Linked DNA regions of Macaca mulatta. The protein of the gene in region 1 purifies or fractionates together with the protein of each later gene. This does not show direct contact. Links are inferred from orthologs where the notes say so. Each region holds a gene or a part of one and is shown in the gene's direction. Other genes may lie near its edges. The genes, in order: PLN, ATP2A1 and ATP2A2.

Region 1 (4,150 bases):
ATTATCTCTGGACAGTTAATACAGTTAATTTTCAGTCTATATATAATTTTTCTGTAATAGCATGTAAGTTCTTATTTGTTTTATTAATCATCAAAGTATAGACCCCACAGGCAGCAATAGCTTGTGGTATCTCTGAAAGAAGGCATGATGGAAACTACTGCTATTAAGTAGAGGTCTGTAAATAGAAAATGTCTGTGGTAGATGGTGAGATAATAATAATTACTACGCATTCCAAGCTTGATAGTCTTCAGTACTTAAAATCAAATCTTATTAAAATGTTAGTTAAGATAACATTCTATAAAGCTATAAAATCATAAAAAGGAATGACAATTTCAATCCGTATTTTTGGTAAAACACTTCCCATTTAACACTATTTTATTTTGGATTAAAATCAAGATCCAGGGAACAATTTGTTGTATGCATTTCCTTTTTATGAGATTGGCTCTGGAGCTATTAATACAGTAACTGATCAAACCAATTACATCTACAGTGTAACAGATTTAAAGAAACTATATGTGAGAACTTTTACCCAAAAGAATAACCCAAAACGAGCTGTACCTTAAACCAAATACAGCAGGTCCTCAAATAACATCATTTCCTTCTATGTCATTTTGTTATAACATTTAAGTATGTGTGCAGCTTGAATGTTCTCTCCATATCTGTGAGACTCTCGTTTCCTCCCATATCCCAAAACTGTGCACATTAGGTTCACTGGCGTGTTTAAGTTGTCCTGGGTTGAGTGTGAGTGTGTAGATGAGTGTATCCTGTGATGGAGTGGTCTCCTATCCAAGGTGGGTTCCTCCCTCCTTGACTGCTGGGATTGGCTCCAGCCACCAGCACCCCAAACCAGAATAAGAGGGTTGAAAAATGAATGAACGGATGAATACAAATTATTATCAAATAAAAACTGGTAAAGTCTAGGGTGATCATACAAATGCATGACAATAAATGCTATGGCACAAAAGCACTCAGAGATCCCATTGTATTTCTCAAACATTGATTCCATGTTTTTAATTGACCAACACAACCACTGTTACTCACTGATTCACGAAATACTGGGTAATTATCTTTGTTGGCTTTTTTTTTGAGACAGAGTTTTGCTGTGTCACCCAGGCTGGAGTACAGTGGCATGATCTGGGCTCACTGCAACCCCTGCCTCCTGGGCTCCAGCGATCCTCCCAAGTAGCTAGGATTACAGGCACATGCCACCAGCCTAGCTAATTTTTATATTTTTAGTAGAGACAGGGTTTCACCATGTTGGCCAGGCTGGTCTCAAACTCCTGGCCTCAGGGGATCTGCCCGCCTTGGCCTCCCAAAGTGCTGGGATTACAGGCGTGAGCCACTGCACCCGGCCTATCTGGTTTTTATTAATCTTTCTTAAATGTACATATAATTCATATTTCTCTCAACGTTTAATATTAGAAGTGTTTGGGTCTTTATTGAGAAGTTTGGTGATGTTCTTGTGACCAGAAATGTGCTATAGGAACTTACCTCTTATTTACATCAATCAGCCTAGGGTAAAAATGGTTTTGTTATATGTTGTTTTGCATAAAGTCTTGGTTTCCAGGAACTTATGGATGACACTGAGGATTACTGCAATACTTGTAGTAAATTTGGGAGAAAAAGGCAAAGACTGAAGTTACTACTCCTAACACAAATGAGACTGTCATGTTGTGCCCCATCAAAAAAGGAGAAAGAGAGACACATGGAAACACATGCGCACACACACACACACACACACACATACACACACACACACACACACACAGAGAGAGACAGAGAGAGAGAGACTATAGAAACACTTGATGTTATAAATAACAATAGTGCTGAGGAAGATGAATTAATACAACATTGTATTTTTTGTCCTGATAATAGGTTACATATATTATTCTAATCTATTTATTATTTTTACATTCCAGGCTACCTAAAAGAAGACAGTTATCTCATATTTGGCTACCAGCTTTTTATCTTTCTCTCAATCACTTAAAACTTCAGACTTCCTCTCCTGCTGGTATCATGGAGAAAGTCCAATACCTCACTCGCTCAGCTATAAGAAGAGCCTCAACCATTGAAATGCCTCAACAAGCACGTCAAAATCTACAGAATCTATTTATCAATTTCTGTCTCATCTTAATATGTCTCTTGCTGATCTGTATCATCGTGATGCTTCTCTGAAGTTCTGCTACAACCTCTAGATCTGCAACTTGCCACATCAGCTTAAAATCTGTCATCCCATGCAGACGGGAAAACAATACTGTAAAACAGACCACTTCCTGAGTAGAAGAGTTTCTTTGTGAAAAGGTCAAGATTAAGACTAAAACTTATTGTTAGCAAATGTATTCATCTGCTGGATCTTGTAAACATGAAAAGGGCTTTATTTTCAAAAATTAACTTTAAAATAAGTGTATAAAATGTAACTGTTGATTTCCTCAACATGGCTCACAAATTTGTATCCCAAATCTTTTCTGAAGATGAAATAAGAGTTTAGTTTTGAAACTGCACTGCCAACAAGTTCACTTCATATATAAAGCATTATCTTTACTCTTTTGAGGTGAATATAACTTATATTACACTGTAAAAGCTTCTTTAATACTGTTTTTCAAGTCTTCACCAAGTATCAAAGTAATAACACAAATGAAGTGTCATTATTCAAAACAGTCCACTGACTCCTCACATCTGTTATCTTATTATAAAGAACTCTGTAGTAACTCTTTGTAGTAACATTCTAAAACAGAAATTGCATTTTTGCTATGCCACATTAACATTTTTTAAAGTTGATGAGAATCAAGTATGGAAAAGTAAGGCCATACTCTTACATAATAAAATTACTCTTAAGTAATTTTTTCAAAGAATCACAGAATTCTAGTACCTGTAGGTAAACCATAAATCTGTTCTAAGACATATGATCAACAGATGAGAACTGGGGGTTAATATGTAACAGTGAGATTAGTCATATCACTAATATACTAACAGAATAGAATCTAATCTTCATTTAAGACACTGTAGTGAATTATCTGACCTAGAGTTACCTAGTTTACCACGCTGTATCTTTTGAATCATGAAACCTTAAGACTTCAGACTGATTTTACAGGTTGTCTTCCATTCCAACCTAACATCCAATGCAGGCAAGGAAAATAATACAAGATTTCCAGTGACAAAAAAAAATATTATCTCAAGTATTTAAAAAAATAAAAATATGAATTCTCTCTCCAAATATTAACTAATTCTTAGATTATATTTTGAAATGAACTTGTTGGCCCATCTATTACATCTACAGCTGACCCTTGAATATGGGGGTTAGGGGAGCTGACAATCCATGGGTCTGCAAAATCTTAACTACCTAATAGCCTACTGTTGACCATAAACCTTACTGATAACATAAACAGTAAATTAACACATATTTTGCATGTTATATGTATTATACACTGTATTCCTACAATAAAGTAAGCTAGAGAAAAGAAAATGTTATTTAGAACATTGTAAAAAAGAGAAAATATATTTACTATTCATTAAATGGAAGTGGGTTAACATAAAAGTCGTCATTCTCATTGTCTTCACATTGAGAGGAGGAAGAGAAGGAGAAAGACGGGGAGGAAGAGCAGGGGTTGGTCTTGCAATCTTGTCTTAGGGGTGTGGAGAGTGGGGAAAAAGAATATTCATGTATAAGTGGACCCTCGCTATTCAAGCCCTTGTTGTTCAAGGGTCAACTGTAACAGGAGATAGCTATTTTTCTTCATCTATCAACCAAATGGCAAGCATCTATTTCGTAGGCCACTCTACTGAGCTTAATTATAGATGCAGCAATGTTACCTATAATTATTTTCTTGATGAATAAATTTTCAATTTCTCCTCTGATCATTTCAGAACATCTTCCAATAACTCATAAAACAACTGAAGTAAAATTTAGTGCTGGAAAATATGTTCACCAAACTTAGGTTAAAATTAAGTTTAAAATAGTTCACACCTATACTGCATAATCCAACAATTTTAATTTCAGTTGAAGACATGTTACTAATATAACTATTATTAAAAGAGTAGAGGATGTGTAATTAACCATATCTTCTAAAACATGATTACTAAAAGAATATATAACATCAATATTGACCTTGGTTTCTTACACAAGTGTTGCTAACTCAATAGTGAAGGAGAC
Region 2 (4,947 bases), on another chromosome or scaffold:
TCCATTACCACCCTACGCCCCCTGCTGCCTTGAGTCCTGCCCACTCATACCTTCCGCTCACTCCTCTCCTGCCTTGCCCTCCACTGTTCTCTTGGTTGCCCTCGATTTTCTCAATTTCCATATTTTCCCGTTTCTCCCTGCCTTCCCTGGCTGTCCACTTCATTCTCTCACCCCAATACCCCTTCTCTCTAACACACCCTGTTTTCCCTGAGTTCTTTCCTTGCCTTTCCTCGTTGTCTTTCTCACTCCTGTCTCCCATTCTCAATTCTAGCTTCTTGTCCTACAGCTGGACTGTCCTTAATTTCGCCTCTAGTCATTCAGTGGGCATTTATTTAGCATGTATTATGTGCTGAGCAGTATGCCTGCCCATCCCTTCTCAGGGCTCACAGCCAGTGGGAAGAGATGTGGGAATTCAAGACCAACCTGAGAACAGAATGAGACTCCAGCTCGCCATGGACACGGGGGCAGAAGGGATGGGTGTCACGATGGGTGGTTGCCAGCTTCAGGAGCTCATGCCAAGGGCCTGATGCAAGCCCTGGGAGCCTCCCTGAGACCTGAAGGATGGATGAGGAGAATGAGTCAGACACAGATTGGGTTTTTCTTAGGAAGGAAGAAAATTCCATTCCCAAGTGACCTCCCTCTTCCCTACTCTCTCCACAGTGGGAGACAAAGTCCCTGCAGACATCCGAATCCTCGCCATCAAATCCACCACCCTGCGGGTTGACCAGTCCATCCTGACAGGTCTGCTGGCCTGGGTGGGAAGATGCTTGGGGGTGGGATGTGGGAAGGAAGAGGCAACAAGGGGGAGGTGAGTGGAAAGACAGAGAACCCTCACTGTCTGAGCAACATAGAGAGACCCTGTCTCTAAAAAAATTTTTAAAAATTAGCTGGGCATGTTGTTGAGTGCCTATAGTCCTGACTACTCAGGATGCTGAGGCGGGAGGATCACCTGGGTACAGGAGGTCAAGGCTGCAGTGAGCTGTGATCACACCACTGCACTCCTTTCTGGGCAACCCTGTCTCTATCAAAATACAAACAAAAGGCTGGGCAAAGTGGCTCATGCCTGTAATCCCAGCACTTTGGGAGGCCAAGGTGGGTGGATCACCTGAGGTCAGGAGTTAGAGACCAGCCTGGCCAACATGGTGAAACCCTGTCTCTACCAAAAAATACAAAAATTAGCCAGGCATGGTGGCAGGCACCTGTAGTCCCAGCTACTCAGGAGGCTGATGCAGTAGAATCGCATGAACCCAGGAGGCTGAGGCTGCAGTGAGCCAAGATCATGTCACTGCACTCCAGCCTGGGCAACAAGAGCAAGACCCCATCTCAAAAAAAAAAAAAAAAAAAGCAAAAGCCAAAAAAAAAAACCAGCACTGGGGCCTCCCCCTGGCTCACTAGCAGTGGCTGTGGCAGTGGCAGCACTGTTTGACACGTTTTCTTTTTTTTTTTTTGAGATGGAGTCTTTTTTTTTTTGAGATGGAGTCTTGCTCTGTCACCCAGGCTGGAGGGCAGCGGCACAGTTTCGGCTCACTGCAACCTCTGCCTCCCGGATTCAAGCAATTCCCTGCTTCAGCCTCTGGAGTAGCTGGGATTACAGGCGTCCACCATCACACTCAGCTAATTTTTGTATTTTTAGTAGAGACAGGGTTTTACCATCTTGGCCAGGCTGGTCTTGAACTCCTGACCTCGTGATCTACCTGCCTCAGCCTCCCAAAGTGCTGGGATTACAGGTGTGAGCCACCCACTGCGCCCAGCCTGCTTGATGTTTCCATCTGTCCCAAGCCTGAAATGGGATGAGTAGTGGGAGAAGGCTGGACGCTGTTGCCCACTCTCTAGATAGCCGCGAGCCTACCCCTTCCACATGGACATAGGGTCACACACACCTCGAGAACTGTCCTGTCTCCTTCAGCCTCCTAAAAAATCCTCCAGGGAGGAGACATGAGATTCTGTGACAAGATAGGGGGTTCAGATACACTGAAAACCATGGCTGCTAGGCAGGGTGTGGTGGCTCATACCTGTAATCCCAGTGCTTTGGGAGGCTGAGGCAGGAGAATTACTTGAGGTCAGGAGTTTGAGACCAGCCTGGGCAACACAGCGAGACCCCATCTCTATAAAAAAATTTTAAAAAATTAGCTGGGTGTGGTGATGTGCACCTGTAGTCCCAGCTACTTGGGAGGCTGAGGTGGGAGGATTGCCTAAGCCCAGAAGCTTGAGGCCACAGTGAGCTATGATTACCACAGCAGTCCAGCATGGACAACAGAGCAAGACCCCATCTCTATAAATTTTTTTCTTTAATTAGTTGGGCATTGTACTGCACACCTGTAGTCCCAGTTGTTTGGGAGGCTGAGGTGGGAGGATCACTTGAGCCCAAGAGTTTGAGGTTGTAGTGAGTTATGATCACACCACTGCATTCTAGCCTGGGCAACAGAGCAAGACCCTGTCTCTATAAAACCACCATAGCTGCTTCTGTTTCTGCACTGGCAGGGAGAAGCGAAGAAGAGGCAGAAAACATTCCCCATGGTCCCAGGGGTCAAGGGCTAGGCTGGCCCAGGCCTGCTGCTGAGTCCCTGCTCTTAGGGTGAGGGAGGCATGGTTCTAAGGGTGGGTCCCCCTTCCTCCCAGAAACATGCTTGACAGTTGAAAGTGTGGTTCCAAATATGTCCACTTATTTGATTTTTACCCAATATATTGTTTTGCAGTGTACATGTCCTTGTCCCCATTTTACAGAGGAGCACATGGAAGTTAGGTGATTAGTCACACAGCTTGTTAGTGGTCAAGCCGGGCTCGGGTCTTTTTTTTTTTTTTTTTTTTTTGAGATGGAGTCTTGCTCTGTCGCCCAGGCTGGAGTGCAGTGGCCGGATCTCAGCTCACTGCAAGCTCCGCCTCCGGGGTTTACGCCATTCTCCTGCCTTAGCCTCCCAAGTAGCTGGGACTACAGGCGCCCGCCACCTCGCCCGGCTAGTTTTTTGTATTTTTTAGTAGAGACGGGGTTTCACCGTGTTAGCCAGGATGGTCTCGATCTCCTGACCTCGTGATCCACCCATCTCGGCCTCCCAAAGTGCTGGCATTACAGGCTTGAGCCACCGCGCCCGGCTCAAGGTCTTTTTAAGAGCAGTAGACTTCTGGCCGGGCACGGTGACCTGTAATCCCAGCACTTTGGGAGGCTGAGGTGGGCAGATCACTTGAGGTCAGGAGTTCGAGACCAGCCTGGCCAACATGGTGAGACCCCGTCTCTACTAAAAATACAAAAAAAAATTAGGCAAGTGTGATGGCATGTGCCTGTAATCCCAGCTACTTGGGAGGCTGAGGCAGGAGAATTGCCTGAACCTGGGAGGCAGAGGTTGCAGTGAGCTGAGATCTTGACACTGCACTCCAGCCTGGGTAACAAAATCGAAACTCTGTCTCAAAAAAAAAAAAAAAAAAAAAAAAGGAGCAATGGACTTCCTAGCTGCCTTCAGTGGCTTCTTCCAGAGTCCAGACATCCCCCAGGATGGTTACTTGGTCCTTACCAGGAGCTGTCCTGCTGAGCAGGGAGTTAGGCGTGGGAAGCCTGGGAGAAGGACATGATGTCATCTGAAAACCCCTTGGCCCCTTCTCCACAGGCGAGTCTGTATCTGTCATCAAGCACACGGAGCCCGTTCCTGACCCCCGAGCTGTCAACCAGGACAAGAAGAACATGCTTTTCTCGGTGAGCAATCTGGGACCAGCTGTCACACGCTTAGTCAAGCCAGGTGCCCGGGTTGGAGAGAAACATGGCGGTGTGAGAAGAGATGGCGTGGGGGAATGCGGCATGAAGGTCACCTCTTGCCTGATTCCCTGCCTTCTCTTTCCCTTCCCAGGGCACCAACATTGCAGCTGGCAAGGCCTTGGGCATTGTGGCCACCACCGGCGTGGGCACTGAGATTGGGAAGATCCGAGACCAAATGGCTGCCACAGAACAGGACAAGACCCCTTTGCAGCAGAAGCTGGATGAGTTTGGGGAGCAGCTCTCCAAGGTCATCTCCCTCATCTGTGTGGCTGTCTGGCTCATCAACATTGGCCACTTCAACGACCCTGTCCATGGGGGCTCCTGGATCCGTGGGGCCATCTACTACTTTAAGATTGCTGTGGCCTTGGCTGTGGCTGCCATCCCCGAAGGTACGAAAGCCTTTCTTTTCTCCTCCCATTTGCAATCCCATCTGCAAAGACTCCTTTTCTTTCTTTCTTTCTTTTTTTTATTTTTTTCTTTTTTGTTTTTTGAGACAGAGTCTTGCTCTGTCACTCAGGCTGGAGTGCAGTGGTATGATCTCGGCTCACTGTAAGCTCCGCCTCCCGGGTTCATGCCATTCTCCTGCCTCAGCCTCCCCAGCAGCTGGGACTACAGGCACACGCCACCACGCCTGGCTAATTTTTTTGTATTTTTAGTAGAGACGGGGTTTCACTCTGTTAGCCAGGATGGTCTCAATCTCCTGACCTCGTGATCTGCCCGCCTCGGCCTCCCAAAGTGCTGGGATTACAGGCGTGAGCCACTGTGCCCGGCCTTTTTTTTTTTTTTTTTTTTTTTTTTTGAGATCGAGTCTCTCACTGTCACCCAGGCTGGAGTGCAGTGGCACAATCTCGGCTCAGTGCAACCTCTTCCTCCTGGGTTCAAGTGATTCTCCTGCCTCTGCCTCCCAAGTAGCTGGGATTACAGGTGCACGCCACCAGGCCCGGCTAATTTTTGTGTTTTCAGCAGAGACGAGGTTTCACCATGTTGGCCAGGCTGGTCTCGAACTCTGGGCTCAAGCAATCCACCTGCCTTGGCCTCCCAAAGTGCTGGGGTTACAGGCATGAGCCACCACGCCCGGCCCAAAGACCCCTTTTCCAAGTAAGGTAACATTTACAGGCTCCAGGGATTAGGATCTGGTATCTTTAGGGACCATTATTGTTTGTTTGTTTGTTTGTTTGTTTAATAGAGACAAGGTCTCACTC
Region 3 (4,947 bases), on another chromosome or scaffold:
GAAGTGGCGCAATCTCGTCTCGCTAGAATCTATGCCCCCACTGGCTTTAAGCGATTCTCCTGCCTCAGCCTCCTGAGTAGCTGGGATTATAGGCGCCTGCCACCACACCTGGCTAATTTTTGTAATTTTAGTAGAGATGGTTTCACCATGTTGGCCAGGCTGGTCTTAAACCGCTGACCTCGGGTGATCCACTGCACCTGACCACCTTCAGCCAATTCTTGACAACTAGAGCTTGAGACCCTCCATTGTCTTCCTTTTTTACTTGTCATAAAAGCCAAATGCCCCATAATGACTTTTGAAGTATTATGACCTGCTTCTACCGTCTTCTGCCATTACCTGTCTCACCTTTTGCTCATGTAAACTCTGTTCCAGCCACATTGGCACTCCTTCACCATTCCAGGACTTGCCAGGCTGCACTTCCCGTTCTCTGCCTGGTGGGTTTTCACCACCACCCAACGGGTTCATGCACATCTTTTCAGGCCCCATGGGGCCATCTTTATTCAAATGTCACTGTCTTCTGACCACTTTAGGTAACAGTATGATCTGTACATACGCAAATTTTCTCCCCCTTCCCTTTTTCTCCATAGCACTTGTGTTACTTTTGCATCTTAGTCTCTCTCCCCTAAAATAGGGGACAAGTTTCATGAGGGCAAAAACTTGTCCATTTTGTTTATTGCTATATCCCTAGCATCTGTCATGTAATAGGTGCTTACTGTTTGTTAGGTAAAAAAGTTCAGAAATTGCCACCCAGTAGTATTCCATATTTGTTCCCTTTGTAGGTCATTAAACAGCTGATGAAAAAGGAATTCACTCTCGAGTTTTCACGTGACAGAAAGTCAATGTCGGTTTATTGTACACCAAATAAACCAAGCAGGACATCAATGAGCAAGATGTTTGTGAAGGCAAGTATGGCAGATTGCAATTGAGATGTTCTTACCAGGGTTAAGATCCTGGTGAACCAGTAAAACAAAATTGTTGATCTAAATCTGTAACATTTCCAGGGTGCTCCTGAAGGTGTCATTGACAGGTGCACCCACATTCGAGTTGGAAGTACTAAGGTTCCTATGACCTCTGGAGTCAAACAGAAGATCATGTCTGTCATTCGAGAGTGGGGTAGTGGCAGCGACACCCTGCGATGCCTGGCCCTGGCCACTCACGACAACCCACTGAGAAGAGAAGAAATGCACCTTGAAGACTCTGCCAACTTTATTAAATATGAGGTTAGCTAATGAAAAGTTTCTTTGTCCACACCCGGCACGATTCATTGTGTTTAAACAGTACTCCTTCAAGCAAAAGGTCAAACAGTTCTCACTTTTGCCAAGAAAGAGGTGTGGTTATTTGTTTTTCTCCATGCCAGCTGTGTCACCCTTAAAATTTAGATTGCCGCTTCAAACATACATAGTTAATAATTTCATAAAAGTCTGTTATTTTCAAAGTAGAATATTTTCAAAGTAGAATAATCAAGATGAGCTTAAATAAGCTTGTAAACCCCATTTTGCAGCTCATCTAAATCATGATTTTTTTTTAAGTGGGGATATTTCTAGAATATTCATTAGTTACTGAAGGTCAAAAGGTCCAAGTTGGAGATTCCTTCCACTTTTCTGCTTAGAATAGAATTCTTTAAGATCAAGGATGTGACATCCTAAAGCTGTGAACAAAATGAAGAAGCTTTGGTATAGTGGGCTCAGAATAGCACAAGAGTTAAAGAATGGTTTGGTAACAGGAGTGTAGTGGTTTGTTTTTTTTTTTCCTCATAAGAAAATGCAGAAACTGGCCGGGCGCGGTGGCTCAAGCCTGTAATCCAGCACTTTGGGAGGCTGAGACGGGTGGATCACGAGGTCAGGAGATCAAGACCATCCTGGCTAACACGGTGAAACCCCGTCTCTACTAAGAAATACAAAAAAAACTAGCCGGGCGAGGTGGCGGGCGCCTGTAGTCCCAGCTACTCGGGAGGCTGAGGCCAGAGAATGGCGTGAACCCAGGAGGCGGAGCTTGCAGTGAGCTGAGATCTGGCCACTGCACTCCAGCCTGGGCTACAGAGCGAGACTCCGTCTCAAAAAAAAAAAAAAAAGAAAATGCAGAAACTGGCCAGGCGCAGTGGCTCACACCTGTAATCTCAGCGCTTTGGGAGGCCGAGGCTGGCACATCACCTGAGTTCGAGACCAGCCTGACTAACATGGAGAAGCCACGTCCCTACTAAAAATACAAAATTAGCCAGGTGTGGTGGAGCATACCTGTAGTCTCAGCTACACTGGAGGCTGAGGCAGGAGAGTTGCTTGAACCCGGGAGGCGGAGGTTGCCGTGAGCTGAGATTGTGCCATGGCACTCCAGCTTGGGCAACAAGAGTGAAACTCCGCCTCAGAAAAAAAAAAAAGAAAAGAAAATGCAGAAGCCTGTCTCAATGTTTAACTGGGCATTTTTCAAACTGGGGGACAAAACCTAGAATTTGCCACTTTTATTTAAAGTGATGCTCTTATTTTAGACCAATCTGACCTTCGTTGGCTGCGTGGGCATGCTGGATCCTCCAAGAATCGAGGTGGCCTCCTCCGTGAAGCTGTGCCGGCAAGCAGGCATCCGGGTCATCATGATCACTGGGGACAACAAGGGCACTGCTGTGGCCATCTGTCGCCGCATCGGCATCTTCGGGCAGGATGAGGATGTGACGTCAAAAGCTTTCACAGGCCGGGAGTTTGATGAACTCAACCCCTCTGCCCAGCGAGATGCCTGCCTGAACGCCCGCTGTTTTGCTCGAGTTGAACCCTCCCACAAATCTAAAATTGTAGAATTTCTTCAGTCTTTTGATGAGATTACAGCTATGGTGAGCATGTTTGAACATGTACAGGTGACTCGGGCTACACAAGCACACAGTGAACTCTAATTTTGACCACTGGATTTTTTTGTCATAGTTCCCTAATTTGGAATTTGTCATGATTTGGGTATTTTCTCTAGAATTCAGTGAATCAGTGATTGGCATGTTGTGTGCTACTTGCAGGGAAGATCCTAGAGTCATTTAAAACCCTGAAGGGCCTTCCAGATCAGTCCCAGAGGAACAATCTGGTGATCCTAGTCTCTTTTTTAAAGGAGACGTGTTTTTATCTTAAGTTTTCCAAAAATTGAGGATGTAATCAGTCTGTCACCTTGTGTTTGGATTGCCCTGCTTTTAAGTTGGATGTTCTTTAAGAGCTGGCTGTTAATGAAGCATTTCCAGTATTCTTCCCCTCACCTGATTTTCATCCAGATATATTATGTTAAATTTACTTTCTTCTCTTTAAAAAAAATACTAGTTTTGAAACATACTGTAAGTGTACTCTCCTCTCCCCCAGAGGTAACTGAAGTTGGAATTCAGCAAAAATATTAAAAACATGGGAGTGCTGGTTTTGTGTCTGTAGACAATATTATTTTTGCATGTTTTTGAAGACATATTTTTTGGCCGAGTACAGTGGCTCACGCCTGTAACCCCAACACTTAGGAGACCAAGGCAGGTGAATCACTTAGGGTCAGGAGTTCAACACCAGCCTGGCCAACATGGTGAAACCCCGTCTCTACTGAAAATACAAAAAATTACTGGGTGTGGTGGTGGGCACCTGTAATCCCAGCTACTTGGGAGACTGAGGCAGGAGAACCACTGGAACCGAGGAGGCGGAAGCTGCAGTGAGCCGAGAGTGTGCCACTGCCCTACAGCCTGGACGACAGAGTAGGACTCCATCTCAGAAACATAAAAATTTGCATATTTTTGCAATCTTCACCTTTCTACTTAAAATTTATCCATGTGGATACAAGTACTTCCTCTTGACTGCCACATAGGTTCTGTTTTTGTTTTTAGTAAGATAATACAGATAAATTTGAAGTCCCCTTTGTCCCACTTCAGTAAACTTATTTGGTAATTTTACATTTCCTAGGTAAAATGTGTTTTGTGACACCAACTTAAGAAACAAAAATTCTATAACTCTTTGTCAAGAGACCTACGGCTCTATTCATTTTCCTCCTGGTTCCCATTCAGTGGGCTTTTGCCCAGGGGTGTGAGTGTGCCATGCCAACTGGCTGACCCAACCATTGCTTTCCCTTTCAGACTGGTGATGGCGTGAACGATGCTCCTGCTCTGAAGAAATCTGAGATTGGCATTGCTATGGGCTCTGGCACTGCGGTGGCTAAAACTGCCTCTGAGATGGTCTTGGCGGATGACAACTTCTCCACCATAGTGGCTGCCGTTGAGGAGGGGCGGGCAATCTACAACAACATGAAACAGTTCATCCGCTACCTCATCTCGTCCAACGTTGGGGAAGTTGTCTGGTAGGTCTCTGTGACAGCATCACTTACTGTATGCCTTTATCTAAATGGGTCGTGGAGCCCAGTTCTCCCAGTTTGCTCTCCAGATTGCAGCAGCTTTGGTCTTTGTGCCTGAGTTGGAAGAGGGGAGTGGGCAAGACAGAAATGCCTTATGGAAGCAGTGGTGCTTTGGCCCTCGGGAGGGTTGTCTGCAGCTGCCGCAACATGCAAAGAATCCTCTTTAACATGAAACTGAGCTTAAATTAACCAGACAGTCATGTGAAATTCTTGCCCTCCAAAAGTTGGCTTTATCTCAGTCAGCTTATTTTTTAATTTTTATTTATCTTTTTGAGACAAGTCTCACTGTCACCCAGGCTTCAGGCAGTGGCACGATCTCAGCTCACTGCCCTCTCCACCTCTTAGGTTCAAGCCTTCCAAACAGCTGGGATTACAGGCATGTGCCACCACTCCCGGCCAGTTTTTTGTATTTTAGTAGAAATGAGGTTTCACCATGTTGCCCAGGCTGGTCTCTTAACTACTGAGCTCTGGTAGTCTGCCCATCTTGGCTTCCCATAGTGCTGGGATTATAGGCATAAGCCACCACACCCGGCCTCAGTCATCTGAATTTAAGTAATAAACTAAGTAAAAGTGAACTTTAATTCAAAATTGGGTATAAGTGTT

What was found.
Region 2: the proteins of PLN (region 1) and ATP2A1 purify together in Homo sapiens (affinity purification with western blotting, with the first as the bait; 3 studies listed by BioGRID). This does not show direct contact. The link is inferred for Macaca mulatta from reciprocal best matches to the Homo sapiens genes PLN and ATP2A1.
Region 3: the proteins of PLN (region 1) and ATP2A2 purify together in Homo sapiens (affinity purification with western blotting; 4 studies listed by BioGRID). This does not show direct contact. The link is inferred for Macaca mulatta from reciprocal best matches to the Homo sapiens genes PLN and ATP2A2.

Annotation. Positions count from the first base shown.
Region 1 is NC_133409.1:23,532,300-23,536,449, forward strand, and holds PLN (phospholamban), read left to right. Parts: upstream 1-1,935; 5' UTR 1,936-2,016; coding exon 2,017-2,175; 3' UTR 2,176-2,781; downstream 2,782-4,150. UniProt on the Homo sapiens protein: Reversibly inhibits the activity of ATP2A2/SERCA2 in cardiac sarcoplasmic reticulum by decreasing the apparent affinity of the ATPase for Ca(2+).
Region 2 is NC_133425.1:28,052,044-28,056,990, reverse strand, and holds part of ATP2A1 (sarcoplasmic/endoplasmic reticulum calcium ATPase 1), read left to right. Parts: intron 1-630; coding exon of another isoform or gene 631-660; coding exon 661-741; intron 742-3,599; coding exon 3,600-3,685; intron 3,686-3,836; coding exon 3,837-4,134; intron 4,135-4,947. UniProt on the Homo sapiens protein: Key regulator of striated muscle performance by acting as the major Ca(2+) ATPase responsible for the reuptake of cytosolic Ca(2+) into the sarcoplasmic reticulum.
Region 3 is NC_133416.1:117,503,532-117,508,478, forward strand, and holds part of ATP2A2 (sarcoplasmic/endoplasmic reticulum calcium ATPase 2), read left to right. Parts: intron 1-779; coding exon 780-902; intron 903-1,001; coding exon 1,002-1,220; intron 1,221-2,482; coding exon 2,483-2,818; intron 2,819-4,069; coding exon 4,070-4,290; intron 4,291-4,947.